Caenorhabditis elegans: one gene and its partners. The protein of the gene in region 1 purifies or fractionates together with the protein of each later gene. This does not show direct contact. Each region holds a gene or a part of one and is shown in the gene's direction. Other genes may lie near its edges.

Region 1 (6,473 bases):
TGCTGTTGGGTCTGCATACACCACGTGAGGTACTCTTTATGCATTATAACTTACGAGCAATTTAATGCTTATTATTTTTTTCGAAAAATTCAATTAAAAATTTTACATATTTACTCTTTATTGTTTCTGACTATTTTTTGCCGAAATTAAAAAGGGTTAATTTTAAAAATAACTTTCAGAATGGGAGATTATGTACCTGGATTTGAACAACGCGAAAGCGATAATCGAAGTTTCGGACATTCGCGTCTTCCGACTCTTGGAGCCATTCCAATCAAAAATGAGAAAGGACAAACTGTTATGCAGAAAGTGAAAGTTTCAAGATATGTGGCTGGAAAGGCGTAAGTTTTTTTTCGTTTAATGGTTGAATTAGTCTTTAAAACATTGATTTTCAGACCAGAATATGCTCGTAACTACGACAGTGACAGCAGTGAATCAGACCGAGAGACAGATCGAGATGATGATCGAAGAAGACGTAGACGTCGTGAAAGTAGTGATGAAGAAGATAGAAGACGCCACAGAAGACACGAAGATTATGGTAGACGACGACAGGTGGAGAAGCCAGAAGTTCTTGGAAAAGTAGAGGACGAATCATCTGAAAATGAACAGGAATCTGAAGAAGACGAAGAGAAACAAGAAGAGAGAAGAGAAAGAGCCAGAATGAGAAGATTGGAATTACATGAAAATAACAGAGAAAAAGATGAAGAACAAGAAGACAGTGCTGAATCAGATGAAGAAGATTTTGAAAGAAGACGTCAAATGCTCAGAGATAGAGCTATTAAAAGAGAGGAAGAAATAAAACGAGAAATTAAAGAAGAACTTGAAGAAGATGATGTTGAAGAGGAGGAAGAAGAAGAAAGTAGTGAAGAGGAAGATTCAGATGAAGATGACGATCCAGTTCCAAGATTGAAGCCTATTTTCACAAGAAAGAAGGATCGTATCACTTTGCAAGAAGCCGAGAAGGAGAAAGAAAAAGAAATTCTGAAAAAGATCGAAGACGAAAAAAGAGCTGAAGAACGGAAGAGAGAAAGTGCAAAATTAGTTGAAAAGGTTCTTCAAGAGGAAGAAGCTGCTGAGAAAAGAAAAACAGAAGATCGTGTTGATTTGTCATCTGTTCTAACCGACGATGAAACTGAAAATATGGCATATGAGGCGTGGAAGCTCAGAGAAATGAAACGATTGAAGGTAAATTTTTGCTGCAAAATTTTGAATGTAGATCTTCGAAGTTTTTTTTTTGAGTTTTTTAATAAATTGACATAGAAATTTCTCAAAAAAATTCTCACTATAATATCCGATATCCAATTTTTTTTTGCAGAGAAACCGTGACGAACGTGAAGAAGCCGCACGCGAGAAGGCAGAACTTGACAAGATTCACGCAATGTCCGAGGAAGAACGACTCAAATATCTTCGTTTAAATCCAAAGGTTATCACTAACAAACAGGACAAAGGAAAATACAAGTTCCTTCAAAAATATTTCCATCGTGGAGCTTTCTTCTTGGATGAAGAAGATGAAGTACTCAAGAGAAACTTTGCCGAAGCTACCAACGATGATCAATTTGATAAAACTATTCTGCCGAAAGTTATGCAGGTAAATACTCGTAACTTATTATAGTGATAATTGAACTAAATTATTTATTTCAGGTCAAAAACTTTGGAAAAGCATCTCGAACCAAGTATACGCACTTGACAGAAGAAGATACAACAGATCATCAAGGTGTTTGGGCATCAACGAATCAGTTGAATTCTCAATTCTCCACGAAAAGAGCCGGAGGATCCAGACCAGTTTTTGAGAGACCTGCAACAAAAAAGCGAAAGAACTGAAAAAGCTTGCACATTCCTGAAAATCCCAATTTTTTGTACTTCGATTTCTATTTATTTGTTTTCTAAGAATAAAAAATGTTTCAGAGTAATTGTGCGATTAAAATACACCAGTACAATACGTGTTGCAGTAGCAATTATTCAACGCCAAAGTTCAAAGTTCTCGTCATACCAGCTAATGCAAAGGACAAACACAACTGTGTGTTCGAAACAAAAAAAACCAACAGACGGTTCGTTTCTCCCCTCATTTGGTTTGTGAACCTCTCCTATTCGGACTTTCAAATGTTTTATTGAGAATTCCCATATCGACTCTCGTTTTCATATTTTTCAAATGCATTCAACCTAAACGAGCCGCTCACCATTCGTCCTTGTTTTTTTCTATTCCTTTTCAAGGTTTTCGTCATCATGTTGTGAGGAGTGTGTTGTCGATCGCCACCTTTTCCGATCGGTCGACTCTTGAAAAGTGGTTTTGCGTTTTTAATTAGAAAAGGGTCATTGGCGTGTTTGTATGCATGTTTGCAAAGTGTCCTATTACCGGTACAGAGAGTGTAGATAGTTAGAGAGTGACAGACATCCGGGACCCAATGGGGCGGGACGCGCGGAAGAGACGATTTGTGCCGATTTACGAAATTTTCCTCGTTGTCATCATTTCGTAAATCGACACAAATCGTCTCTTCCGCGCGCCCGCCCCATTGGGTCCCGGATGTCTGTCACTCTCTAACTATCTACACTCTCTGTACCGGTAATATTTCTTTCAAGAAGTAGTTTTCGTTTTCTTTCATTAGTTTTATGTTTTTTATAAACCAGGATATTAGATCGTAGTTTTCTTATTTGAGCTGCAAAATCTCTTTTTGAAAAATTTTTCCATGCTTATGTAGCTTTCATTTTTTTATCGCTCTTTTTAGATTGCGACATAGAACCAAAGTAACTTTATTTTGAGTGCCTCGAGCTCGAGAAAGTTCTAAAAATCTATTTTTACAATGAAATATTAATAATTTGCTGAATTTTATTTAAAACATCTTCTTTTAATGTTGGAGAAAAAGAACAGTATTTTCAAAATCAAACACAAAAATCTAGCGATCACCACAAACTTTTGTTTCGCTATGGGACCCGGTACTGTTGCCTCTTGAATGTTCCTTTAACTACAAAAGACCGCCTGAATTTTAGGAGCGCTCCTGAGCACATTTCTCATATCTTCATTCAAACCGGCAGTTTTCTCCCGAGAGCACTCTTAAATTGTTATTTTTGGGCTATTTTCGATTAAACTCTTCCAATTCTTTTTTATCAAACACCGTTCAATCAAATGTTCCTTATCAAAAACGCAAGACGTAGGCGGAGAACCAAAACTTTGCGATGAGTCAGAAGAATTTCACCATTTTTGGTTAGCGGAGAGTGGAAGAACCTCTTTTGTTTATAAATATTTTTTCTCGTCGTTAACTATACGCTTTTTTTCTTTCAAACTTATTCGTTCTAGAAAATGTCCGCTTTCGCTTCTTCGGATCGCGCTGAAAAGTCTGGAATTGCATTGGAGGCCCAGCAGAAAATCTACGAGAAATACGATAAGAATCTTGCCGGAGAAATTCTTCAATGGGTTCAGGTAATTTTGTGAAACTTTTCAAACGTTTATTGATTCTTGGCAAAGTCATATGTTTACATTGCAAACGAAGAAAATCATACAAATAAGTTATGCTCCTTCTTCGATTCACGATTTGAAACATTTTTCAGAACGTCACTGGCCAATCTTTCGACACCCAAGGAGACGCTGACAACTTGGTCAAGGTTTTTCAAGATGGAAGTCTTCTCTGCACTCTTGCCAATTCTTTGAAACCAGGAAGCGTCAAGAAGGTCAACACATCTGCCATGGCATTCAAGAAAATGGAGAACATCTCTTTCTTCCTGAAGTTTGCTGAGGAGTATGTGCAAAAGTCGGAACTCTTCCAGGTTTGTCCTTTCACTAAACACATTATGACATCAATTGTTTTCAGACTGTTGATCTCTACGAAGGACAGGACCCAAATGCTGTCCTCATCTGTCTCGCTTCTTTGGCACGAAAGTCTGAGAAGAACTTCGGTCGATCTGGTCTCGGACCGAAGGAAGCTCAAGGAGATCGTCGTGAATGGACCGATGAGCAATTGAAAGCTGGACATAACGTGATTGGTCTTCAAATGGGCAGCAACAAAGGGGCAACTGCTTCAGGACTTAACATGGGAAACACCCGCCACATGTAATTTCCAACGTATTCCCTACATTCTCAACCGGTTCTGGTAATCATAACGTGAAATTTTCCTATTCATTTTTTTATATGTCCAAATTATCAAGTGTACTGTAATCGATCTGGAAGCCACGCACTTCTAGAAAATTCAATTCGCTTCTCCAAATTTCATCGGTTCCAACATACAACTCATAATGATTTCCATGTTTTTGTGTAGAATTTTTGTCCAAATTATTTATTGTATTGTAATAAAGCTTGTAAGTAGGCAAATAAGCATTTTACAATATGAGACTAGACGATTTGCAAATGACTAGAAGAGCTTGAGGTCTGGTTGAACATGGATGTCATTTGCACGTTTCCAAATGACGATTTAAATAAGCTCGCAGGGCAAATCGACGACCACATTTATCACATTCGAATCGTTTGTCACCTGGAACAACAAATATTGAAGAACTGTTAGGTGTGAAAATATATGCGTAAATACCTGTATGAGTTAGCATGTGCGCTCGTAAGTTGCTCCGATCAGCAAATGATTTTCCACAATGAGCACAAGAGAAAGGCCGAAGACCTGTGTGAGAACGAAGATGTCCCTGGAGCAGCCAAAGTCTCGAAAATCGTTTCCCGCAAACATTACATTCATGAGAAGCGTTGTGTGTTAAAATGTGCATGCTGAAATTCAGTTTAACTTGTAAAACTAGGAGAAAAAGTTAACGTCCAATCCTAAGTCTCTACTAGATTGTGAACACTTAGCCCCAGCTTTCTGGTTGCTAGTTTCACTACTAATTCCATCGAATTCTTATTATTACCATGTATTATATAATTTCTATTATCCGCCTAACTACAATAGTGTACAATGTGTGTTGACGCAAAGAAATACAGGTACAGGTGGTGATTGCGCAATCGGAAGATTGTCTTCTGATGAGAATAAGGCAGGTGCGAATTGTTGGTGATTAAATAATACGAAGTGAAAGCTTGAGGAGATTAACCTTACAAACGTGGTTTCAATTACATTCTGGATATTATTTGGAAGTAATGATTCTCTATTCTTTGAACTGAGTTAGCTCGATATTTCAAATAAACTCTGGTGTGAAAACGTATTACCTATACGCGAAATATTGCAATTTTGCGCCCAAAGTACTGTACCTGGTCTTTACACGACAATTTTTTGAGAGTACTGTATTTTTCAAACTCTCTCGTTGATGCTCTTTTAAAGGGACACCTTTTTGCATTTAACCAAATTTTTTCGTGTCGAGACCGGGTACCGTATTTTTCAAAAATGACAATATTTTGCGCCTGCGTAATAACCAGATTTAGAATTTTTTCTAAGAAATTCAAAAACTTCACTTCTGAAAGTTATTGACTCGAATTCCTCAGTTTTACACGTTTCTCATTATAAAATACAATAATACTTTTTGAAAAGTAAAGCTCTTACCTTAGTGCAGGCATACTGACGTAGACTCGATCACAATGAGGGCATTGTTTGGCATGTGGACTATCCAAAGCTCTGTGCGTCTGAAATTGTTACTTTCAAAACAAAAGAATTCTCAATCCAGGAACACGAAGGAAGCAATATGTTATGTCATAGCTGTCAGAAAAACACTGTTTTACCTACCTGCTTGTGTCGACTGAGATTGGAAGTTGTTGCGTAGCTTTTCCCACATTTGTCACATACACATCTGTTATGAGAGGATGGTCTGAAAAAAAGTTATACGGGAGTCTTCTTCCGTTTCAATTACTTCACTAACCCTTTTTTATTCAAGCTTCTTCTATCCAAATTTTGAAGTGAATCCAATGTATATCCAGTGGTAGAACATGTTGGAGACGGAGATGAAGATACATCTTCATCGTTTTCCAATTCTAGTTTTGGAACTTTTTGAGAGTTTAGAATATTGTCTATTGAGAATACAGAGGTATTTTGTACAGATGATGGAGATTTCTTCAGATTTTCAGAGGACGTTGACGAACTAGAAGAGGACGAAGTAGATGCAGCTGAAGACTTTTGCATTTGTAGGTGTAGACTCATTAGATGCCATAGTTGGGCTTGAAAATCTGAAAGAAAATTTGGACTAAAAGGTTAAATAAGTATCACCACCGATTGCTCAACATTTGCTCAACTTTGACTGTTTTTATCTCGGTTGTCTCTGGTTTTTTTTAAAACATTGTGGAACAGTAAATATAGGTGTCAGATACATTATTCTTTATATTTTTGTTATTGAACAATTTTTGATAGATCCAAAATAAGAGCTGCCACTTTGGAGCAATGGGGGTGCAAGACTAATAGGAAAAATACAATATTTTGACACAATCTCCAAAACCAAAAAATATTAACGAAATATCAAGAACCTATTAAACTCAATAACTCACCACAATTGCCAATTATGGGGAAATCTACTGGAGGAGCAACAGTTGGTGTTAAACTAATATTCGGGGTAGTTATCATATTCTA
Region 2 (6,366 bases), on another chromosome or scaffold:
TTATTAAGAATCTCGGGAAACATTTCTAGGAATCTGACAAGTGAGAATAACCAAAAGAATGTGAAGAGCTGGCAACAATGCCTACATTTTATGCTCGAAATCTGAATATTTGCACAATTTACAGCTTTTCCTCTAACAATTCCATTTTATGTGTTTACTCTTCACGAGTCAACAGAGTTCGAACGGTTGTCTGAAATTCAGGATAGAATGCGCAGAGATTGGAACAAAATGACGGAAATCGACGCTTTCAATCGCTTCTACAATGTTACAGTTCTCTCCAAGCTGTTGAGAACAATTCACGAAGGCTTCCTCGAGTACGACCCATGTAACTGAACAACTATATTCTTTTCGAGCAATTTATTGATGATCAAGATGAAAAAGTGAAGCAATAAACAGGGTTGGATGGGGTGATTGAAAAGAAGAAAAGTTCTCACGGAGAACAAATTTAGAGCTGTCCGCAGTCGGCGATGAGGCACTCGGACTTTGGAGTTCCGGAGCTGCTTCCGTTGCCCTCGACCTTGCTGACGATGTCCAATCCTTCGACGACACGTCCGAAAACGACGTGCTTTCCGTCGAGCCAGGCAGTCTTGACGGTGCAGAGGAAGAATTGAGATCCGTTGGTGTTTGGTCCAGCGTTAGCCTGAAGAAAAACAATGAAACTTATCAGCCAGTGGATAACAGTTAAGAAACTAGATAATGCTTCTTTTCTATCAGTTTATGCTGTCTTTCAATCTGGCTAGGCAACATAACTTACCATGGAAAGGACTCCTGGTCCGGTGTGCTTCTCCTTGAAGTTCTCGTCTGGGAACTTCTCTCCGTAGATGGATTCTCCTCCAGTTCCGTTCCCGCGGGTGAAGTCTCCTCCCTGGATCATGAATTCTGGGATGATACGATGGAACTTGGATCCCTTGAAGTGGAGTGGCTTTCCGGACTTTCCGACTCCCTTCTCACCAGTGCAAAGAGCACGGAAGTTCTCAGCGGTTTTTGGAACAATATCGTTGTAGAGCTGAAAATAAGATTTAATTTCATGAAAAAAGATCAGTGTTTTGTTTACCTCCATAACGATACGTCCGGTTGGTTTTCCGGCGATGGTGATGTCGAAGAAGACTCTTGGGCGGCTCATTTTCAGGTAGGGTAATCACTAAAATGCTTGAGTTATAGTTGAGAAATATGTATGAGATAGGTATATCTACAGAGGTGCGGCAAACACGCTCTGCGGTAATAGAGCGGGAATCAATCAAAGTTAAAAATATAAACAAAGCACCATAAGATACAAGGAAGAAGCACACGGATGAGCTATATACTGAAATGGAGTGAATTAGCGCACTAAAACAGAAAATTTTAGGCCCAACTAAATTAATTTTCCTGTTGGGCCTAAAATCTGCCGAAAGACGTGATTCAACAAGGATTAAACGACAGTTGCACATCAAAAAAGTTCTTAAATAATTTTCAATTGATTTTAATTCATTTTAATAAGCGAAACTATAAAAATTCTGACAAAATCAACAAATTAGGCGACGAAAGAGAGAAGAAATGAGCCGTTCGCTTCTAGAATTTTCCGACGTAAACAACAAAGTCCGCAAAAGTGTCTGCGTACCCGACACCCAATCATACGACATGCGCCATATCTGACGACACTTTCGCTGTGTTTCCCGCCTTTTGTCAACACTTTCACCGTGCGCCTGTGTTTTCAAATGATCGTACACAAAACAACAGAACGGCGCCGAAATTGATAACAATTTTTGTAGGCAATAAAAGATTACATTGAAAAACCGGTCATTGATATCAGTTCGATCATCACCACGGTCTTCACGAAAAGAAGGAGAAATATCGAGATGATTTAACATTGAGAAACATTGAGAACATTTTAAATTGCTAAATAGATCACAAATTAATCCAACAGTTTTTCATTTTGTTGAATGCTTTCGAGATCGATTGAGCTAAATATGAAGCTCTGCATGTGACGGGTATCTGCGAAGCGGTTCGTCAAGATTAGCTTTGCTTATCCGCTAAAAAATAATCTTTTCGTACAAGGACAAAATAAAATCTGCACAAAATACATCGTGATGTGCTAAAAATGGTTAATGTGAAAGTCCTAGAAATAGACCAATAAACTTTATAAATTTTGACTGGTCTCGAAGCCATTTAGTGTACTGTAGGTGAGAGCATTGCTCAGCTTAAATTGTTTGTTTCAAATTCTTCTTCATTGTTCAAATTAAATTTATCACAAGATAAAATGTCTGGAAAAGACAATAAAGGATCAATTCGTTTTGAGATTCAAAATTTTTCTGGCTTGGCGAAGGCGACGGAGCACAAACCAGTGCAAATTGGACACGTAGAATGGTTAGTGAATTTTAATGAAACAAAAAATGTTCTAAATTATTTAAAATATTATCTTTTAAGGATTCTTGGAGCATTCACAAGCACTTCCGACGCTACGAACAATGCTAAACATCTCGGAATTCACCTGAAATGCAACGAGGAACTGCGCAGCAACTTGTGGTCCTGCGATGCGTCAATTCGTTTTTCACTTCTGAGACTCAATTCAAACGAGGATGATGACGCGTTTTCGATGGAGTTTCAGCAAAAGTTCGACGACTTGAACAAGATTGTGGTGGTCAACAATTTTAAAAATTGGGAGGAAGCCATCTGCTACGATAATCGATTTGTGCTCGATAAGCATGCCGTTCTTGAAGTCCAAATTACTGTCAACAAGATTGCCGGAATTCATGAGAGGATTATCGAGACTTTCGATCAACCCAAGGAACATCTTACCGATGTTGTGCTGGTGCTTGAAGGAAAACATGTCCATGTTGGCAAGCAAGTGCTCGCAACGAGCTCGCAATTCTTCCAAAAAATGTTCTATTCGAATTTCGCCGAAAAGACACAGGCTGAGATCAAAATCGATGATGTGACCCACTCTGAGTTTATCGATTTGCTCAATGTGATCTACCCCACTCACATGCTCATTAATAGTAAGTTCTTTTTTTTATTTGAGGCTTGGAATTATTAACGGATTTTCAGGTTCCAACGTGTCTCACTTGCTCAAGCTGAGCGATAGATTCGCGGTGCCAAGAGTTCTGGAAAAGGCTGAAACGTTTTTGATTTTGGACCAAAAGACCCACTTGATCGACAAGCTGAAGTTCGCCGAAGTCTACAGACTCTCAAGGCTTCAAAATGCATGCCTTTCGCAATTGGAGACCAGCGAAGATGTTACTGCGTTGAAGCATCACGAAAATTATAAATCTCTCGATCATATAACCTACAATGCGTTGCTTCAGAAGCTCATTGATCTTTTGGAAGATTAGCTCCAAGCTTTGTTGAATTTGTTGTTGATAAATTCTGTTGTTGATTTCAGTTTTCAAAACTGCAGATTATTTTTTGTTAAGGAGAAGGTAAAAATACCGCGAAGAACTGTTAATTTTTGATTGGTTAAAAAACTCAAATTTAAACTACCACCAAAAAGAAGAATGTAAGCACGCTCTGCTGATGAAAGAAAACCTTATTCAAACTTCGCGGTCTCACAAATTATCAACGGAGCGAACATTCTGACCCCGCCCACAAATCGAAATTTCTCTGCCGCTCTCCATTTCGGTCCCATTTTTTGAATTTTCATGCGAATTCACTGTTTTTTATTCAGATTTTTTATCGATTTTCGTTTAAATTATGTAATTTTTATGATTTTTCAGTAATTTCCCTATTCTTGCCTCAACAATGAGCCGCTCAAAGGTCTTTTTCGACATCACCATCGGTGGTAAGGCTTCCGGACGTATCGTCATGGAGGTTTGTGAAATTTTGGCTATTTTCATCTTCAATAAATAAATTTTTTACAGCTTTACGATGACGTTGTCCCAAAGACCGCCGGTAATTTCCGCGCTCTCTGCACCGGAGAAAATGGAATCGGAAAGTCTGGAAAGCCACTCCACTTCAAGGGATCCAAGTTTCATCGCATCATCCCGAACTTCATGATCCAGGGAGGAGACTTCACCCGCGGAAACGGAACTGGAGGAGAATCCATCTACGGAGAGAAGTTCCCAGACGAGAACTTCAAGGAGAAGCACACCGGACCAGGAGTCCTCTCCATGGTAAGCAAATCGTCAGCTGAATCTGTTTGAAGTTCGAGAAAATGTTTTTTTCTGCTCAATTTGGGAAAAATATCACTGTTTGTTCTCCGAAAAGAGGGAAAACTGAAGATTTCTAAATGTTGCTTTTCCGGAAATTGTCGTATCTGTGAGAGACGCAGACATATCTCACAGCACGTTGTGTGTAGGATGGAGTGCTGAGCCGTTGTTAGGAGAAATTGAATGATTTATGAGAAAGAGCAGCTGAATGTATCAGTCTCAAAAAATATCAGAATTTTTGTCTGTCTCGAAAGTAATATTTTCAACATTTCAGGCTAATGCTGGACCAAACACCAACGGATCTCAATTCTTCCTCTGCACCGTCAAGACCGAGTGGCTCGACGGAAAGCACGTCGTTTTCGGACGTGTCGTCGAAGGATTGGACGTCGTGAAGGCTGTCGAATCCAACGGATCCCAATCCGGAAAGCCAGTCAAGGACTGCATGATCGCTGACTGTGGACAACTCAAGGCATAAATTAATTGCACCCGAAATCTCCTTCATCTCTTGATTATATATTTTCAGTATTCAACTAATCCATATTTTTCTCATAAACCTCAGTTATCCCCGATTGTTCCTTTGAAGAAACCCAGGTCTCATTGAGAAAAAAAAAAGAAATCAGCTCAGACGTTGCGCATATTTCCATCTTCTGGCGAAAGGCGCGACGTTGGGTCCCGCCTTTTCAGGCGACATCACAATCCGATCGCCTCGGCCACTGCACAAGTCATCGATCACCGCTGAGGAGTTGAACCCGCGTCTGTTGTTTGAAGACGGCGCGCTTTACCACTGAACCACTCGGTCGCGAATAGTAGTGCGCCGTTGTGTACCTATAAAAGTGTGCGTAGGCAAGCAGAGAGGAATAATGAAGCGGAGAGTTTCAGAACCGGATTTCAGCTTTATCTAATACTTGAATCTACATGCAACATCCATTCAGATTTTAATTCAATCTTTAATGAATCGCATCTACTATTTATTGTCGCTTTTAATTTTTCTAAACACTATAAACTCTCTTTATCAATGGGGTAATTTTTAAAAGATTAAATTTTTTTGAATTGACATTAAAAATTTCTCAGAAAATCGGATTTTAAAATGTGAAAACGCCAACTGCTCTCTTCAAAAAACCGGCGAAGAATTTAAACCTGCAGTTTGTGAGAAAGGTCGTCTTTTTATTTGAATAAACTTTTGAAATCGCAAGAAAAATTCAGATTCTAACGGAAAAATCGCATGTGATATAGAATGTGATAAAGCTGATCGTGACAGTGTTATCTCAAAAAGGCCCACCGATTATCGATATTGCAATAGGTGATCCGATTAAATTAATGTTTACAGTAGTTTCAAAAATTCTATAAATTTAAGGTTTTACACATACAATGCTGAAAAGACTTCCGATGGAAAATATGTGATTTGGAGAAGTGGAAAATGTGCTGAAGCAAATATTACTTTATCTGTTCATTGTGCTTTTGCGGTGTATATGGTCTGAAATAAATAATTTTTCTGGATTTTATTGTATTACGGTACCCGAGAAAGTACGCAAGATGTAGACGTGGCACACCATTCGACGAGCAAATTGGAAAAATTAAATAAAATTGACGACGAGATATTGTATTAGTTCTAAACTCGATCAAGAACATTCTCTTTATTTCGAAATAAAATTACATATGTACTTTTTGGGCTAAAAATAAGTCTCGCCACGACACAGTTTTGTTAAATAACAAAGATGTGCGCCTTTAGAGGGTAATGTAATCTCAAAATTGTATTGTCCCTTTTCTTTAATCAACTTTTTAAAGTTTTCCAAGCGAATTAATAAACTCTATGAAAATTGGAAGGAAATTGCACAGCAAAAATTTAAATTGCAGTACTGTTTGAAGACGCACACTTTTTTGACGAAAACATGTCGTTTTGAGACCGGGCAACGTGATTACCTTATGCCTGCCTGCCTACTGCCTATTTGCTCTAAAACATGTACTTTGGATGTAGGCACGCGTGTAGGCATGAGGTCAGACATATGTACATATTTGTCCTATATTCATTCAAAGACACACTCGATTCATGTTCCCATCTGAAAACCAAAAATCAAATTATTCAAATACATACTATAAAAAATCAAAATACAATTAGTAACCTTTTCTACAACTCACTGGTGACATCACATAAACCTTGACATTTTCTTCTTCATACTGCTCCCCCAATCAAAGAATGCTATCAGTTATCAATCATATGCACCAAACACAAACATTCGTACAGCCA
Region 3 (9,787 bases), on another chromosome or scaffold:
ATTAAATTAATTTTAATTTTCGCTCTAAAAATCTTTCCAATAAGGATTAACCAAGTGCGCTCCACCGTTAATTTTCATCGGGTCTCGCCACGAAATCAACATTTTTGAATTCAAATCCGCTGAACACTTTTTTGTCATCTTTTTTTTGTTTCTCCGTCAATTTTCGCAATTTAAACGCTTTTTTTTTTCATTTTTTAGCGGGAAATTTATTCGAAAATTGTTCTTGTCTGCGGAAATCATTCACTTTCCCCATTTTCCCCTTTATTTTGCTAGTTCCTCCCGTTCTCTCTGCTTTTTGTCGAGTTTTTCATGAAATCTTCGCAGATTGCTAAAAAAATTGCACTTTTTTATTTTATTCATCATTGAAATCCATTGAATATGTTCAGCTTTCGTCACGTCTCACTCATTTCCGGTGTCTCCTCAAATTGTTTTTTTTTAGTTTCTGTTTCGAAACCTCCACTTTTTCTGTTCGGGTCCCATGGCTATTGCGAAATACTAGAAATCCCCCTAATTTTCAAGGACCGACGATTCAGAAAGAAGGCGCAGCAGCGGCAGTGACGAAGGCGACGGCCCATTGTGTCAATCGATGGGGAAAACGAAAAAAAAAAACGAAACGGACAGGCGGCGCGCAGCGCGGGCGCTCCGCTTCTTCACCGCTCTCTGGGTCACATTTGAATGAATCAGTCGCGTTTGGGCGCAACATCGGGACGTTTTCTGTTCGTTCGGTCTATTTTCCCCCGTTCTGTGATCGCTTTCATGTCTGAAAAATATATGATTCATCACTTTTGTTCTGTATTGTTTTAGATTCCAGAATTTTCATGTGTCATCATCCATTTCTCGTTGTCGACCTTATTTTTCTCCATTTGAATTTTTCCTCTATTGACTGGGCACACCAACAGCCGGATGGACGGGGACACTCTTGAGAAGTGGGGTCGCGGCGGCGGTTGTGTAGTGTAGTTGAGGAGGACACTGCAGCAGTGCCGGAAGATGCGACGATCAACGACTCCGTGTGTCGCACATTACAACATCTGGCACTTCGACATATTCCTCAATTGATTCTTCTATCCTCTCTCGTTTTGAGAAACCATTTGACTGGCCTTCGTCGTCTGACGAACTGAGCCCGGCGACGACAATCAATACATGTGTCTGTCTCCATGAGAAGTGTGTGAGTGACACATCGTTCAAACACAAGATACGCAGTCGTACTGTCCTTGAACAATTCTCACAGTCGTTCGTTTTTTCATAATTTTGTAGCTAATCATCAGTTTTCCAAATATTTCGGCTGCTTATTGGGAGACCATTTAAAGGGGAAGTAGAGTTTGTGGCTATTTTAATTAAATCGACTAAAACTGGTCCATTATCCAAAAATGTTTATGGCCGGTCAAAATTTCGAAAAAAAGAGCCAAATTTTGCTAAAATCTGAATTTTCTCAAACTTTTCTTTGTCACAGCCGCTGGATTTTAGTTTTTCGGAAATTATCACCCTTTGATCCTTAATTTGGTAATTTATCTCGCGGAAATTCGTTGATTGAGACAACTTTTAGGCCGATAGGCATACAATTTTTATCATTTTTGGATGCCCATCGGCTCAAAAAGTGTCTCAATCAACGAATTTCCGCGAGATAAATTACCAAAATAAGGATTAAAGGGTGATAATCTCAGAAAAACTAAAATCCAGCGGCTGTGACAAAGAAAAGTGTGCGAAATTTCAGATTTTAGCAATAGTTGGCCATTTTTTCGAATTTTGGCCGGCCATGAAAAATTTTTGGAAATTTTTTGTGAAGTCTCATTATGAAATTCGGTGATTTTGGACCAGTTTTTGTCTATTTAAGCAAAATACTACAAACTCTACTCCCCTTTTAAATTAAATCGTCCGAGTTTTCTTGGACTATTTAATATTTTTGCATACGAAAAACACTGTCTTGAAATACACTGTCAAATTATTATACTGAGCGACTAGAAAAGATTCTAAAAATAATTCTCAAGATGACTAATTCATTTTTTTATTTCTGAAATGAGCGTGTCTTATTGTTTCGCAATTGCTAATGACTTTGACTCCTCCCACGTCGTTGGCGTTTTTGTTCGTTCCTCGATCAATTGGTGGCTCCCTCACAGTCAATTTGCCCTTTCTCTACGCCCACGCAAACCATCTGAACACTTCTATGCTAATAATGCTCATTCCGACTTGAATTCAAGGAAAATGATATGTTTTTTTTCTCACTGAACTTTCACCCGATGTTGAAATAACCCGAAAGTAGAGAATATGTCGGGGGGGGGGGGGGGGGTAGTAGATGGGCGGTGTAGTTGTCTGCGCGTACGCTAAGTGGAGATTATACGCTTCGACTGTCTCGTAGCACCGAGTTCCTTTCGCTAATTACTCTCATCAACTATTGTTTCCACTGTGTGTGTGTCCTCCTCCGGGTATGTCCTTTTCGTTTGCCCCTTGTTCAAAGCCGAAATCGATGTTGTTTTCAATATTTTTAACGTCTGGAAACAATTCAAAAATTGTTCCAAACCCTCTCCGTCATTCTCGTACCGCCATGCGCTGACTCATACACCGTCGTCGTCCTCCTCGTTGTTGTGTACAACACAAAAACGGGTGGTTTTCTAATCTTTCTCCTTCCCAGTTGATACCATAGTGTATATAACGTACTCCTCGATGCTGAATGATGATTCATACGATCAATAGCAGTGCATTCCTACTTTTTTCTAATTTTGTCAGTACTTTCTAGAAACTGAAGCCCGGGAGAAAGTGCAAACGGATTCACCACTAGGTAGTCCGTATCTGTTTTTTTTTGGTATTTCGGGCAGAGCAAGTAAGGTCGGGGGACAATGGTGTGTGTGTTGCACATGGCGAATGTTTGCTCGGTTCTCGCTATTTTCTCTCTTCACTCTCTTCTCTACCAGCTCTTCAGATCGTTCACTCTCTCTCTCCGGGAGGGGACGGAAAAGATGACCATTCGGGCTGGGTGCTGCTGCTGCTGTTGCTGCCCGTTTCATTTTCTCTCCGCTCCCTCTCCTCTACTTGTCACTATCTCGCTCTATCTCTTCGTCTCTTCATTTTCCTCGTGTCCCTCGTCCTCGTCTATCTAAGCGGACGCGCTCGCACAGGCAAGCACTCTGACTGGCGGTTGTGTTGTTGGGGCTGGGGGTTAGGCCGAAGGGACGGCCCCGTCTCTTTTTTTTTGCGTCTTTCTCATCCTGCTTCTGTGCCAATCACAATGGACTTTCTTGGCTCTTGTTCTCTCTCTCTCTCTGTTTCCATCACTTTACCAATTTACCTCACACTTATGACCCTTATGACTCTTATCTGGGTTACACTTTTTCTTTGTGTTGAGCTTCTTCACTATCGTTTTTCCCTTCTCGTGATTCGATTATTGATTGATTAAAATCATTTTTTCTTGCAGGAAACTCAACTTGATTCTATTTCCCCACCACAAACCAACAACAACATCTCAAAATGGTGAGTTTGAGATTTTAATTCGCTTCAATATTTTTAAATTGAAAGAAATTTGGAATGTTATGTTTGGCGTGTTTTTTTTTCATTGAATTTCCAAAATTTCACACTAAAATGGAATGGTTTTCTCTTCTTTTTGCCTAACCTAACCTAACCTATGTGTGCCTGTTTTCTAGAGTTCCGGTGTCATGGTCGACCCAGATGTGCAGACATCTTTCCAAAAGCTCTCCGAGGGACGCAAGGAGTACCGCTACATCATTTTCAAGATCGACGTGAGTTTTTAAAAAATAAAATCTGAATCAGATCAATTTAAAAAAATTTCGTGCCACTTTTTGTTTTTTTTGTTGAAAAATTTGAAAAATCCTCAAATTAATTGTTTTAGATGAACATTATTGATTTCCCTATTAAATTGCAACATTTTCCAGGAGAACAAGGTGATCGTGGAAGCCGCGGTGACTCAGGATCAGCTCGGCATCACTGGAGACGACTATGATGACTCTTCCAAGGCCGCTTTCGACAAATTCGTCGAGGACGTGAAGTCTCGAACCGATAATCTGACCGATTGCCGCTACGCCGTTTTCGACTTCAAGTTCACGTGCAGTCGTGTTGGAGCCGGCACGAGCAAGATGGACAAGATCATCTTCCTCCAGATGTAAGCGCTTGATCCTATTGGTGAATTATTGTACCATCTAATTTTTTTTCCAGCTGCCCAGATGGTGCTTCTATCAAGAAAAAGATGGTGTACGCTTCGTCCGCCGCCGCCATCAAGACTTCTCTCGGAACCGGCAAAATCCTTCAGTTCCAGGTGAGAAATCTCGATAATTTTTACAATTAGAAAAAAAAAATCAAATTATTAAAATTTCAGGTGTCTGACGAGAGCGAGATGAGCCACAAGGAACTCCTCAACAAGTTGGGCGAGAAATACGGAGATCACTAGATACACGGGTCTCTTCCGAAGTCGTCGTCGCCGTCACATCCTCGATTATTCTCGTCTCTGTCTGTCGCATTTTCTCCATTGCTTGATGATTTCTGATCGTTTTCACGTGTGCTCTTTGAATGTGCTAGTGCGTTGTTGTGGTGCTTTTTTCTTACCAACCTCACTACTTGTTCATTTTTTTTGGTGTCCTCAAAGAATCATCCGTTGAAAACATGACTGCGGCGATGTGTTTCGATGATGTTTCTTAAGCGTCTTCTTCACATTTTCACCTCTTAACATTGCTAATTTATCCTCTATTTTTATCTGTTTTTTTCCTGATTGACGATTGTTTTTTTCCTGGGGGCAAGTGATTGTGTGTGCCCACTAATTTAATACAATGTGCCGGGTAACCTTCCGTACTATGAAGAAGTTGAGACATCCCCTCAGATTCTCAGTATCTTTATTGTTTAGTGAAATGCGTGGTAAATCCCTTCTCATTTACGATTATATTCTCTCTCTCTTGTAAAGCTTTCTATATTTATATAGTGTACTTTCCCCCACTGGAACTCTCAATCTCCATCTCCTCACCATTCTTTTTTTTTCAAATCTTCTATTGCGTATTCATTTCCCTTCTTACTTTTTTCCCACCCTGCCCGATCCCCTTGAAGAATCACCCACCAAACCGTTCATGTGCTGTGCTTTTTAAGATTATCACAATGAAATCAAGTTTGGAGTTTCTAACAATTGTTTTAACACGCGTGGAAAATTTTGAAAGGAAACAAAAATTGACATAAAAACCAGAAAAATATTACAAACACCTTTGAGTACAGGCTTCCGGAGTCAAAGTTGATCCATCCTGCAAGAACGCCTACGATCTTCTCCACAACAAGCATCAGCACAGCTACATCATCTTCAAGGTGAGTTATTCTGCGAAAAAAAAAATGCGTACTGCACAACACATTTGACGCGCAAAATATCTCGTAGCGAAAACTACAGTAATTCTTTAAATGAGTACTGTAGCTCTTGTGTCGATTTACGGGCTCAATTATTGCAATTTTCTTTATAAATGGTTTCCGTGAATCGACACTAGCGCTACAGTAGTCATTTAAAGGATTACTGCAGTTTTCGCTACGAGATATTTGATGTATTTTGCGCGTCAAATATGTTGTGCAGTACGCATTTTCAGAGTTTTCTGTTCCCGTAATAATTAAATAATTTTCTAAATTTGATTTTTTAAAAATTTAAAAAATAAATAAATCGAAAAAAAATAAATCAAAAAATAATCAGATTGACAAAAATGACACCGCCATCGTCGTCGAGAAGGTCGGAGAGAAGAATGCTCCGTACGCCGAGTTCGTTGAGGAGATGAAGAAGCTTGTTGAGGACGGAAAGGAGTGCAGGTAAGCCTAAGCCTGAGACTAGGCCTGAGCCTAAACCTGAGCATAAGCCTAAGCCTAAGAATAAGCCTAAGCCTAACACTAAGTCTTAGTCTGAGCCTAAATGTCGCGTGTATTCTACGCGAAAAGTTGTGTTTTTGCGCCAAAATACGGTGCTAGGTCTCGACACGACTAATTTTTACTAGTTAAATGAATGCAGAGAAAAGAAGGTGTGCGTCTTTAAATAGTACTGTAATTTCAAAATTATTGTTTCCATGGAATGTTTTATTATCGAAAAAAATTCACATAAATATTAAGAAACTGTGAAACATTAATGAAAATTTGGCAGCAATGGAATTTTGAAACTACATTACTCTTTAAAGGCACATATGATTTTGAATTTAACAAAAAAGTTTCGTGTCGAGACCAGTTGGTGCAAAAAAACCGCAAAATTTCTTGTCTGGATAATTATCAAACAACAAAACTCGTCGGAAATCTCGATTCAATTCATCCTTTTTTGCAGATATGCTGCCGTCGACGTCGAGGTTACTGTCCAAAGACAGGGAGCCGAGGGAACCAGCACACTCAATAAGGTCATCTTCGTTCAATAGTGAGTTTCAACATTGAAATATTACACATACACGTGGTGCCAGGCTGTCCCATTGCGGTTTGATCTAGAAAAAATGCGCGATTTTTTTCCCAAAGAAAATTTGACGTCAGCACGTTCTTAACCATGAGAAATCAGTTGAGAACTCTGCGTCTCTACTCCGGCTTTTTTTGTAGATCTACGTAGATCAAGCCGGAATGCTCGAAATTGTCCGCATTTTTGCGTTAAAAAAACGGTAACACTATAATTTCGCAGCAACGAATGTTTTAAATTACTGTACTCTTTAAAGGCGCATACCTGTTTGAATTTAACAAAAATTTGTCGTGTCGAGACCAGATAGCGTAAAATTTCGCGTCTGGAAAATCTAGAAAATCGTCCAAACAAAAAACCAAGAAAGTTGATAAAAATGAACGAATTTACTGAAATTCTCGTTGGAAAAGTCGGCCATCAACTAGGAAGCCTCGGCCACCAAAAAGTCGGCCATAAACTAGAAAAATTCGGCCACCAAAAAACCGGCCATCAACTAGGAAACCTCGGCCATCAACTAGAAAACTCGGCCATCAACTAGAAAACCTGGGCCATCAAAAAGTCGGCCATCAACAAGGAAAAGTCGGTCATAAACTAGAGAAACTCGGCCATCAACTAGGAAAACTCGGCCATCAACTAGAAATACTCGACCAGCAACTAGAAAAACTCGGCTATCAACTAGGAAAACTCGGCCACCAAAAAATCGGCCATCAACAAGAAAAAGTGGGCCATCAACTAGAAATCCTCGGCCACCAAAAAGTCGCCCATCAACTAGGAAAACACGGCCATCAACTAGAAAACTCGACCATCAACTAGAAAACCTCGGCCATCAAAAAGTCGGCCATTAACTAGAAAAAGTCGGCCACCAAAAAGTCGGCCACCAACTAAAAAACCTCGGCTATCAACTAGGAAAACTCGGCCACCAAAAAGTCGGCCATCAACTAGAAAAACTCGACCATCAAAATGTCGGCCATCAACTAGAAAACCTCGGTCATCAACTAGAAAACCTCGGCCATCAACTAGGAAACCTCGGCCATCAACTAGAAAAACTCGGCCACCAAAATGTCGGCCATTAACAAGAATCTCTTTAAAAAAATTTCCATGTATTTCCACATTCCACTTCCCAAACTCCTATTTTCAGCTGCCCAGACAACGCCCCAGTCCGCAGACGTATGCTCTACGCCTCCTCGGTCCGTGCTCTCAAGGCGTCCCTCGGACTCGAGTCCCTCTTCCAAGTACAGGCCTCCGAGATGTCGGACCTCGACGAGAAGAGCGTGAAGAGCGACCTGATGTCCAACCAAAGAATCTAAGCCTGTCCAATTGAATCCCAATCACAAATTACAATTTCTTTCTGGTACTACTAGTCTCTCGGACCATCCAAGCCCGTCAAAAATGTGCCTTTAACTTTTTTTTTCTTGTTAAATTATGACTTTTCTTGTCTGTAATTCTGATTTCCCATTTTCTCTGGAATTTTTAAAAAAATATTTTTCTTTTAATAAATAAATCCGTTCCTTCAGAACATGTCAGTTGTTGTTTTCCATGACGTCCAGACGACAAAAAACAATAAAATCAATTACCCATTTTTTCCAGAGCCCCCAAGAGCCCTCAGATGTTATAGAGCACAACACACCCCCCGAGAGCATCTCTTTACTTTTGACCTGATGCCACTCGACTTGTGCTCACCGGCTCTCGGAGCACAAGCAGGAGCACAAGTTATGCTACTTTTCTTCGAATTTTGTTTGTTTGTTTCGAAACTTGAAACGAACAGCACGAAACATTCTTTTCTTTGGATAATTTTTAAAAATCGATTTTTTTTCGAAATCCAACAGAGTTGGCCCACGGGGTTCTGGCCTTCCTCATTGAATTTTTCGCGCTCCATTGACAATCGCCAGCCAAACAACGCCTGGGGAAAGTCGTGTACTCCACACGGACAAATGCATTTAGAAGTAAAATTTCTCACGACGCGACACGCAACGCGCCGTAAATCTACCCCAGATATGGCCGAGCCAAAATGGCCTAGTTCGGCAAATTCTTCCATTTCAATTTATTAGGGAAGCCAGAAATCCGTGAGTTGGCTTAGTTTTGTTCAAAAATCAGTTTTCGTAGTGTTCTGAAAACGGAAAAAAACATCGCGTTCCATTTGTTTCCCGTTGTTTTTAGATTCGTTTTTTTTCGCAAAAAATAATGGGAATCCTTTTCAAATAAATGTTCTCCAGATGCGGTTTTTCTGCATCATTTTTTCTAAGAAGAACACATAAATCTGATGTTTTTTCTGAGTAGATTTCAAGGTTTTTTTTTGCCATTTTGTGGGTTTACTTTTTTCTCTTGTCATCCTCCAGCCAAAGCCTAAGCCTGAGCCTAAGCCTAAGCCTAATTCTAAGCCTAAGCCTAAGCTTGAGCCTATGCCTAAGCCTAAGCCTAAGCCTAAGCCTAAGTATAAGCCTATGCTTAAGCAGAAGCCCAAGTCTAAACCTATGCCTAAGACCTAGCCTATGGCTAAGCCCAGGCCTAAGCCTAAGCCTAACACTAATTTCTTCCTGACTATTTCATCAAAGAAAACTATTGAAAAATGGTTGGCCGTGTAATTCCACGACCATGAATTTCGAGAACTACTGTACTTTTTTTCAGAGATAGTTGTTACGTGCTCTATCCGTTCGGCTCTTCAGTAAACAATACATATCGCAATATCCGTCATATTTTCAATAGTTCGGCTCTTTTCTGTGTACCGACATGCCTTCTTCTTATCCGATTGAAAGCTCAGACACTCTCGCAACACACACACACACAACCATTTCAATACGGATTTTTGATTTCTTAACATTTTTTTTTCTCGCTATCTTATATTACTTCCCTAGTATTTTCTGGCACTGGGCCAAGTGATGCTCGTATGATGAGCACAACATAGTTTTCATCCGTCCCCCCCCCCCATTGAGTTTTATTTTATCTTTTCGTTTTTCGTTTTCCATGAGCCCCATTCCCAACAACAACAGCTGACTTTTCGTCAAAGTCTCTCCGGATCTAGTGATCTCTAGGGCTTTGTTGAGGTGAAAGGTCATTGAAAGTTAAATTTTGTGGGAGAAAAAAAGGGTCTTGTGACGAAAAGGGATGACTAGGGGAGGTATCAGTTCTTTTGTTTGCTTTGGTATATATTTTGTGATTGTTCATTTAACGATTCTCATCTGGATCGGCTTTGATCGTTCACAAATTGAGTTTTGATGCTTTCCAGGTTGACACCTTATTTATTTGATACAAACATGCTAGTTTTCCTCAAAAACGTCGTATGCCATGACAACCTTGCGTCCATTCTTTTTGATATCTACCAGCTTCTATTTTAAAATTACAGAAAGTTTTTTCAGTGAAGCAAAACTAGTGTTACATGCAACCTATTTTTCCTCCAAACTTCAA
Region 4 (7,417 bases), 6.4 Mb from region 1:
ATAAAACTAATACAAAAATTAAATTTCAAGCGTGAAAATCGAAATTTCAGTCTTTCTTCGACGCATTCAACGAAACACGTTCTATAGTCCTCGCATCGGGTACTCTGTGCCCAATGGACACTTTGAAAACCGAATTAGGAATGGAATTCAAGCAACAAGTAGAAGGAGATCAAGTCATTAATAAGGATAACATTTTCGCAGCGGTTTTGCCAATTGTAAGGAAAACATTTGGTTAGGTAGCGTCGTGTGGTGCCCTGAGAATTACCGAACGAATGAAATTTATTTCTTAAAGAGATGACAGGGCACGTGTTGTCAGACAGTCTCATTGCAGGCTGATCTACAAAACATGCGGGAATTTTACCCCAGAAAAATGTGACGTCAACACACTCTTCATCATGCGAAATCAGTTGAAAAGTCTGCGTCTCTTCTCATTTCTCGAAGATCAAACCAAAATGAGGCAGGAATTAGGATTTAAAATTTTTGATGCAAATTTATGTTAATTTACTTAGCATTAATGCTAGCATTGAAAAAGTATGTCATTCGTCCTATAAGTCTCCGGCTAGCATACAAGGTTTATTTTCGAAAATACGGTCTAAAAACTACCAAAATAAAAAGGAAAGCCTTATTAATTTAATTGATTTAAAAATTCCAGGGTCCCTTTGGAAATCGCATTCAGTGCACGTACCGCAACACGTCAGATCCGGAATCTTCATTTTATTGCGAGCTTGGAGCAATTATCAAGTACGTTGGCGGATTATTTTTCGAATTTTCTACTTTCAGAGAGACTTGAAAAAAATGAATAGATTTTCAACAAAAATGTCAAATTTTGTTTAGGTTATTTAAATCAAGACTTGTTTAAAACAAATATAATTTCTGAAAATTCAAATCGGAAAACTTAGTTTTTGTCTAATTTTTTATAAAAAGTTACAAAAGCCTTGAAAAATGTTCCAATTGTTGGAAAATTTTCGAATGTTAAGAAATCAGCTCATTTTTTGCAGGTATGTATGCAGTAACGTGCCAGCAGGAATTCTATGTTTTCTCCCCAGCTATCGAGTTCTAGATCAATTAAAACAATGTATGATCCGTAATTCAACAATGCGACAAATCGAAATGAAAAAAGTTGTGCTCTACGAGCCGCGAAGATCCTCAGAATTAACATCAGTAATGGATCAATTCGATGCGGCGATCTTCGATCCGTCTAGATTCGGTGCAAACATCAACGGATCTCTTATGTTTGCCGTTTTTCGTGGAAAAGTTTCCGAGGGCATTGATTTTGCCGATGATCGTGCGCGTGTGGTGATTTCTGTCGGAATTCCGTATCCAAATGCGATGGATGATCAAGTGAATGCGAAAAAGTTGTATAATGATCAGAATTCCAAGGAAAAGGGGATTTTGACTGGCGATGAGTGGTATACCACGCAGGCCTATCGAGCATTGAATCAGGCTTTGGGAAGGTGAATATATATACAAAGCCGCGTGGAATAAAAACTACGTTTTTTTTATTTAAAAAATGTTATGCTATGCTACAAATGTTCAAAACACAGCAATTTTCTACTGTAACACATAATTCTGAAATTTGCGCAACATTTTTGACGCACAAAATATCTCGTAGCGAAGACTACAGTAATCCTTTAAATGACTACCGTAGTGCTTGTGTCGATTTACGGGCTCGATTTTCGAATTTCCTAATCGAATTTTGACAGCAGTATTTAATTTGTCTTTTTTTTTCTGTATTGTTTTGTCATTTTTGTGTTAAAAAAAAATATTTAAATGAAAAACGTCCAATATTGCCTTATAGGAAACTCATACAATCGTATTTTTACATTATTTTCCGTCTATTGCCGGGTTTCACCTGGAAAACCTGCAATAGACGGGAAATAATGTAAAAATACGTTTGTAAATAGGAGTTTCCTCATCAAAATGAAGGCAATATTACACGTTTTTTTCTATTAAAACAGTTGGTTAATGAATAAAATTTTTTTAAGTACAAAAATGACTAAACAATACGAACAACGAAGGAAAATTGAATATCACTGTCCAAATTCGAAAATAAAATCGAGCCCGTAAATCGGCATAAGCGCTACTTTTAAAGAAATACTGTAATTTTCGCTGCGAGATATTTTGCGAGTCAAATATGTTGTAAAATACGCATTCTCAGGATTTAGTGTTCCCGTAATATCAAATCTATAATATCACGTGAAATAAGGGAATCAGTAGAAAAACCATCTGGCCAAATTTCACTACAATCTAAAATTCATTAAATCTTCAGATGTCTCCGGCACAAAAACGACTGGGGAGCAATGCTAATGATCGATGAACGCCTAGAACGTCAAACTGGAAATCTTGTGGGCGGAGCCTCGTCTGCTCGTGTCTCAAAATGGATTCGTGCTCAACTGAAAAGCTATCCGAGTTTTAAAGAATTTAATGCGAATTTTCGCGAATTCATCCAGCGTCGACACGCTGTTGAGAAAGCAAAAAAAGAGAATTTTTGTGAATGAATTAAACTTTTTCTAACTTTTTTTTTTCGATTAAAACCCCCGCCCCTTATCTTTTTTACGTGTAAAATTTATGATTTTTCCTCATTTTCTTAAACAATTTTTAGACGTCTTTTTTAAAAGTTAGAATCTCCCTAATGCATTGTTTTTACCCCTTTTTTCAAATCGATTTTCATAAAGCTTGGCCGAACTTTTTCTCTCTTCTCTCATTATCACTTATCAGTGTTTACCTTTACACCACTTGTACTTTGAACTGTGAAATGCTGACAACATTATAGCGTTCTCAGTAGCCTACGAGAATTTTTCTAAAACTTGCCTGGAACCAGTTTGAACGCAAAATTTTTCCCTTTCGAGTGTTCAAAATTAATTTTCAAATTTTCATTTTGTTCGAAAAAGGTTTTGGCGTATGACTCTTTCCGAATATCTTTGTGAAATTAAAAAAAAACTTCTCGGATTTAATATTTCAGCTTGAAATCTCGCACCCAAAACTTAACGCGCCAGAGGCAGTCTCATTGGGGCGCACCGTGCTGTGTCGATTTACGGGATTTTTCACCATCTGTCATGTTTTTTCAAAAACTTTTTTTTTGGTTATTATTTGGAAAATTGTTTTTTCCGTGTCAATTGAACATTTTATTATATCCAAATCACAACTCGATGAAAATCCGAATTTTCGAAAAAAAAAACGATAAATTTAAGGCTTTTTTAGTTTAAAAAATTTAAAGATATTCGGAATTAGGGGGTTGGAATAATTCAGTGAATGCGTCTTTGAGTATGAGTTTTTTGAAAAATTACCTATGTACTTGGAAAAAGGCCATCGAAATTAATAATATATTTTTGTTTCAATATTTATAATTTATTTAAAATTGTCTAATTTTTGCAGCCTCTGAAGAAAAAAAATGTTCAAACGAGTATTCAATCTCCGTTTTATTTCGAATTTCTCTCGCCGCCCGACATCTTCTCCAAAACTTCCGAAATTAATTGCAATCACTGGTGGAACCTCGCTTGGAATCGCATTTTTTGGAAAAACTGAAGAGAACAAGAATTTGGACTCAGGAAATGGACAATTAATTGATGGAAAACCGAAAAATTTCGATTTAATTGTTCGAAATTCGGATGAACTTTATGATAATTATCTAATCGATAATTGTTATAATATTTTGAAAAAGTGAATTTTCAATTAACTTTTAGAAATGTCCATTTTAACTTTTCTTTCCAATTTTTAAGATTTGAAAATTCCAATTGCTCCGAGCTTCTATGGCGTCTGGCACGTGTGGTTTGTGAGAAAGGAAAACTCTCAAAAGATCAAAATCAACGAAAAGAGCTCATTTTGGAAGCCTATGGAATTGTGAAAAAAGCTCTTGACAATGAGCCAAAGAATGGATGCTTTGGAGCACATAAATGGTACGATTTGGAGTTAAAACGCTATTTATTCCGGGTAGAACAACACAATTTTGCGAGAAAAAAAAACTATGACTGAGGGTGGAAATCGAAAACTGAGCACCTGCCTTTTTTGGCGGCTGAGTTTTAGCATTTTCTATGCCACATGGCTATCTTTAGGTATGCCATTCTACTGGATTACGTTGGAGAGATCGAGGGAAACAAATCGAGAATCGAAAAATCATTCCAAGTGCGGAAACATTTAGAGAAGGCGTTATCGATTTTCGAGAACGATCCAACAACGTGGCATATTTTGGGTAAGGGATTCCGGATTGAACAGAGAAAAAAAAAGAAAAATCATGTTAGAATTTATTCACGTGGAGTCAGACGGTCCCTTTTCGCTTTGATCTACGAAACATGCGGGAGGTGAGACGTAGACATCTCAACTGATTTCGCATGGTTAACAGTGTGCTTACGTCACAAATTTTCTGGGAAAAAATTCCCGCATTTTTTGTAGATCAAACCGCAATGAGACTTTCTGACACCCCGTGTTTATTCCGAATTAAAGCTCTACAGCTCACCGTTCAATCAACGGGGGCGGGCGGTGCTTAACCATTATTTTTTTTAGATATTTCTGCATTTCGCTTCGAGAATTAAAAAGAAAACCTCAAATTTCAGGAGTCTGGCACTTTTCCTTCGCCAATATGGGTTACGCGACTCGAATGGTGGCCAAAGCTATTTTCGCAACTCCACCAGCATCCACATATCAGGAGGCTCTACACTATTTCCTAAAGGCTGAACAGATTTCGGTAAAAAAATATCAGAATTCAAACACTTTTAGTGAATCTCTCATAGTCAATCAAAAACATACAAAAATGAAAAGTTGTCGACCAAATTTTTTTACACTTTGAACATTTTCCTCCACTTGGGAAGTAAATAGTGCCACGAAAAATTCAGATCATTATAGTTAAATTCAAATTTTCAGCCCGGATTCTACAGTACGAATACCTACTACATTGGCGAAGTGTACGAACAACTAGGACAAAAAGCCGAAGCACTTGATGCATTCAAACAATCATTCAAAATGCCAGTTGTGACTTCTGATGACGCGGTTATTCATAAGAAAGCATACGAGAAACTGAAGAAATATGGAGTCAAGGATACTGAAGTTGTTTAGATTGTGAAAAATATGTATTTGTAAGATGATTGTTGTAATTTTTAACAGAATAAAAATATTTATTTGAATTTAATAATTGTCTAATGTCAGCTAAATAATATTGTCGGAAATGAGGCACCACGGTTTCAAGATCTGGTGAAATTCCGGATCTACGTTTTCCGGAAATACGATTTCCGGATCTACGTTTTCCGAATCTAGCACCGTGCCAACCCACAAAACGCTTTTTTATTCACTCGACGCACGTTGTTTTTTGAAAATTTCTTCTAGAAGAAACGCTTAACAACACGCGACGCTTAACAACGGAGCATCGTTGTCACGTTTTTCTCCGAGAAAAATAGCGTTTTAAGAGTTGGCCAGATCCGGAAAACGTAGATCCGGAAATGGTAGATCCGGAAAACGGAGATCCGGAATTTTACCAGATCTTGATACCGTGGTGCGAGGCACCACGTTTTCAAGATCTGTTCAAAAACAAGATCTACGAAAACAAGATCCACCAAAACAAGATCTACGTTTTCAGGATCTGGCACCGTGCCAACTGCGGTTTTCTCGAAGAAAACGAAACAACGATGCTCCGATGTTACGTTCGCGTGTTGTTTAGCGTTCAAACGAATATTTTTTGAAATTTTCTTCTAGAATTTACGCAACACGCGTACGCACGCGTAGAGAAAACCGCAGTTGGCACGGTGCCAGATCCTGAAAACGTAGATCTTGTTTTGGTAGATCTTGAAAAGGTAGATTTTGTTTTGGTGGATCTTGTTTTCGTAGATCTTGTTTTTGAACAAATCTTGAAAACGTGGTGCCTCCGTGGTGCCTCTCGGAAATTCAATTGTATTGCTTTAAAATTCAAATTCTGCTCCTTCCCTCCATTTTATGATCTGGTGGCCTAGAATTCCACCCAACTCGTCCTCTGGCCGAGCGCGCGAAATCTTGCATTTTAAACTCGATTTCCCATGAAATTAACTTAAATTTGCCATTTTATCTAGTTTTTTCTTTAGTTATTTGATTTTCAGTATTTTCAGACAAGTTCGGTCATCGCCAGCAAGCTCAATGAGCTCCAAGGATGACATTCTTGCACAGGCGGTCGAAAAGTTTGTTTCAAGAATGGAGAAAGTATAAAATCTTCTTTTTTTAGTGATTCAAACTACAAAGAGCGGCTTGCCCTGATCAGATCAAATGATGAGATTGATGCGAAGCTTGGTTTCTCTAGATACACAGGACTACAGGAGAAAAAAGGATTTCTGATAAACATCCAACCTTCGGAGCTTGTCGACGAGCAAACCAAAGTTATTATTTCGGTCGTTGACTATTTCTTCATCAGTGATATGGACGAACGCTTCAAAATCAGTTACCCATTTCGACCGTATTTCTATATTGCCACGTTGGATGGATTTGAATTCCAAGTATCCAGTTATCTGTCCAAGAAGTACGGAGCCCAGACAGCAGTTGAACATATGGATCGGGAGGATTTAGATTTGAAAGATCATCTTTCTGGGTTGAAGAAGACATATATCAAACTCTCATTCACCAGCACCGTGGAATTGATAAAAATCCGTAAGGAATTAATGCCGCTGGTGCGGAAAAACACAGATCGCATCAAAAAAGAGTCGGCGTACGCTGACTATTTGGCGAGGAATCTGAGTGGAAAAGGAGGAGATAGTAAGGATCAACAGTTGAATGGTGACATCTTGAATCAAATTGTTGATATCAGAGAATACGACGTGCCTTTTCACATGAGAGTTTCCATCGATGAAAAGATCTTCGTCGGATTATGGTTGGAATCATCCTTTTCTTCTTTTTTAAATTCTAAATTTATAAATTTCCAGGTACGATGTGAAAGGAATTGGCCCGAACCGTGTTCCAACAATAAAGCGAAAAGATTTGCCCTTGTTCCACGCAAAGCCGAAAGTTCTCGCCTTTGACATTGAAACAACGAAACTTCCGTTGAAATTTCCGGATCGTGAGAGCGATGAAATTATGATGATATCATATATGGTTGATGGACGTGGATTTTTGATTATCAACCGAGAAATCGTGTCGGCTGATATTAATGCGTTCGAATACACACCGAAAGCCGAGTACATAGGAGAATTCACAGTCTGGAATGAGAAGGACGAAGCTGCTCTGATTCGGAAATTTTTCGATCATTTTTTGCAGGTAAATTCTACTTTTAAACTGAATTTGATTAGAATCATTTTCTTGCAGGTTCGTCCAAATATTGTTGTCACCTACAATGGAGATTTCTTCGATTGGCCATTCGTAGAAGCTCGTGCCAAGATCCGCGGATTCAATATGGAAAGGGAAATCGGATTTTCTAAGGATTCCGCCGATGAGTACAAATCACGAAATTGTATTCATATGGACGCTTTCC

Evidence for each region.
Region 2: the proteins of cpn-1 (region 1) and cyn-3 fractionate together in Caenorhabditis elegans (co-fractionation; one large-scale study listed by BioGRID). This does not show direct contact.
Region 3: the proteins of cpn-1 (region 1) and unc-60 fractionate together in Caenorhabditis elegans (co-fractionation; one large-scale study listed by BioGRID). This does not show direct contact.
Region 4: the proteins of cpn-1 (region 1) and F33H2.6 fractionate together in Caenorhabditis elegans (co-fractionation; one large-scale study listed by BioGRID). This does not show direct contact.

Annotation. Positions count from the first base shown.
Region 1 is NC_003279.8:8,633,943-8,640,415, reverse strand, and holds cpn-1 (Calponin-homology (CH) domain-containing protein), read left to right. Parts: upstream 1-3,289; 5' UTR 3,290-3,292; coding exon 3,293-3,412; intron 3,413-3,540; coding exon 3,541-3,756; intron 3,757-3,800; coding exon 3,801-4,043; 3' UTR 4,044-4,293; downstream 4,294-6,473. Other genes in the region: mfap-1 (Microfibrillar-associated protein 1), read left to right, coding at 181-338, 393-1,182, 1,313-1,585, 1,639-1,818; ces-1 (C2H2-type domain-containing protein), read right to left, coding at 4,372-4,457, 4,512-4,696, 5,460-5,539, 5,640-5,721, 5,773-6,076, 6,392-6,467.
Region 2 is NC_003283.11:15,186,238-15,192,603, forward strand, and holds cyn-3 (Peptidyl-prolyl cis-trans isomerase 3), read left to right. Parts: upstream 1-3,689; 5' UTR 3,690-3,714; coding exon 3,715-3,783; intron 3,784-3,833; coding exon 3,834-4,085; intron 4,086-4,395; coding exon 4,396-4,596; 3' UTR 4,597-4,689; downstream 4,690-6,366. Other genes in the region: Y75B12B.3 (Transposase), read right to left, coding at 1-23; cyn-7 (Peptidyl-prolyl cis-trans isomerase 7), read right to left, coding at 446-640, 755-1,006, 1,055-1,123; bath-36 (BTB and MATH domain-containing protein 36), read left to right, coding at 2,237-2,343, 2,404-2,975, 3,025-3,308; Y75B12B.11 (DUF7808 domain-containing protein), read left to right, coding at 5,072-5,141, 5,193-5,276, 5,325-5,421, 5,476-5,599. UniProt on the Caenorhabditis elegans protein: Catalyzes the cis-trans isomerization of proline imidic peptide bonds in oligopeptides. Plays a role in protein folding, transport and assembly.
Region 3 is NC_003283.11:1,471,680-1,481,466, forward strand, and holds unc-60 (Actin-depolymerizing factor 2), read left to right. Parts: upstream 1-3,406; 5' UTR 3,407-3,459; coding exon 3,460-3,462; intron 3,463-3,632; coding exon of another isoform or gene 3,633-3,728; intron 3,729-3,881; coding exon of another isoform or gene 3,882-4,108; intron 4,109-4,161; coding exon of another isoform or gene 4,162-4,261; intron 4,262-4,321; coding exon of another isoform or gene 4,322-4,393; exon of another isoform or gene 4,394-5,105; intron 5,106-5,202; coding exon 5,203-5,289; intron 5,290-5,659; coding exon 5,660-5,772; intron 5,773-6,271; coding exon 6,272-6,358; intron 6,359-7,523; coding exon 7,524-7,692; 3' UTR 7,693-7,897; downstream 7,898-9,787. Other genes in the region: F53E2.2 (Actin-depolymerizing factor 1, isoforms a/b), read left to right, coding at 3,460-3,462, 3,633-3,728, 3,882-4,108, 4,162-4,261, 4,322-4,393. UniProt on the Caenorhabditis elegans protein: Depolymerizes growing actin filaments in muscle cells; required for the assembly of actin filaments into the functional contractile myofilament lattice of muscle.
Region 4 is NC_003279.8:15,012,554-15,019,970, reverse strand, and holds F33H2.6 (Regulator of microtubule dynamics protein 1), read left to right. Parts: upstream 1-3,375; 5' UTR 3,376-3,391; coding exon 3,392-3,660; intron 3,661-3,719; coding exon 3,720-3,896; intron 3,897-4,052; coding exon 4,053-4,189; intron 4,190-4,550; coding exon 4,551-4,681; intron 4,682-4,857; coding exon 4,858-5,049; 3' UTR 5,050-5,117; downstream 5,118-7,417. Other genes in the region: dog-1 (Helicase ATP-binding domain-containing protein), read left to right, coding at 51-215, 653-741, 999-1,454, 2,270-2,498; pole-1 (DNA polymerase epsilon catalytic subunit), read left to right, coding at 6,097-6,137, 6,182-6,820, 6,873-7,203, 7,252-7,417.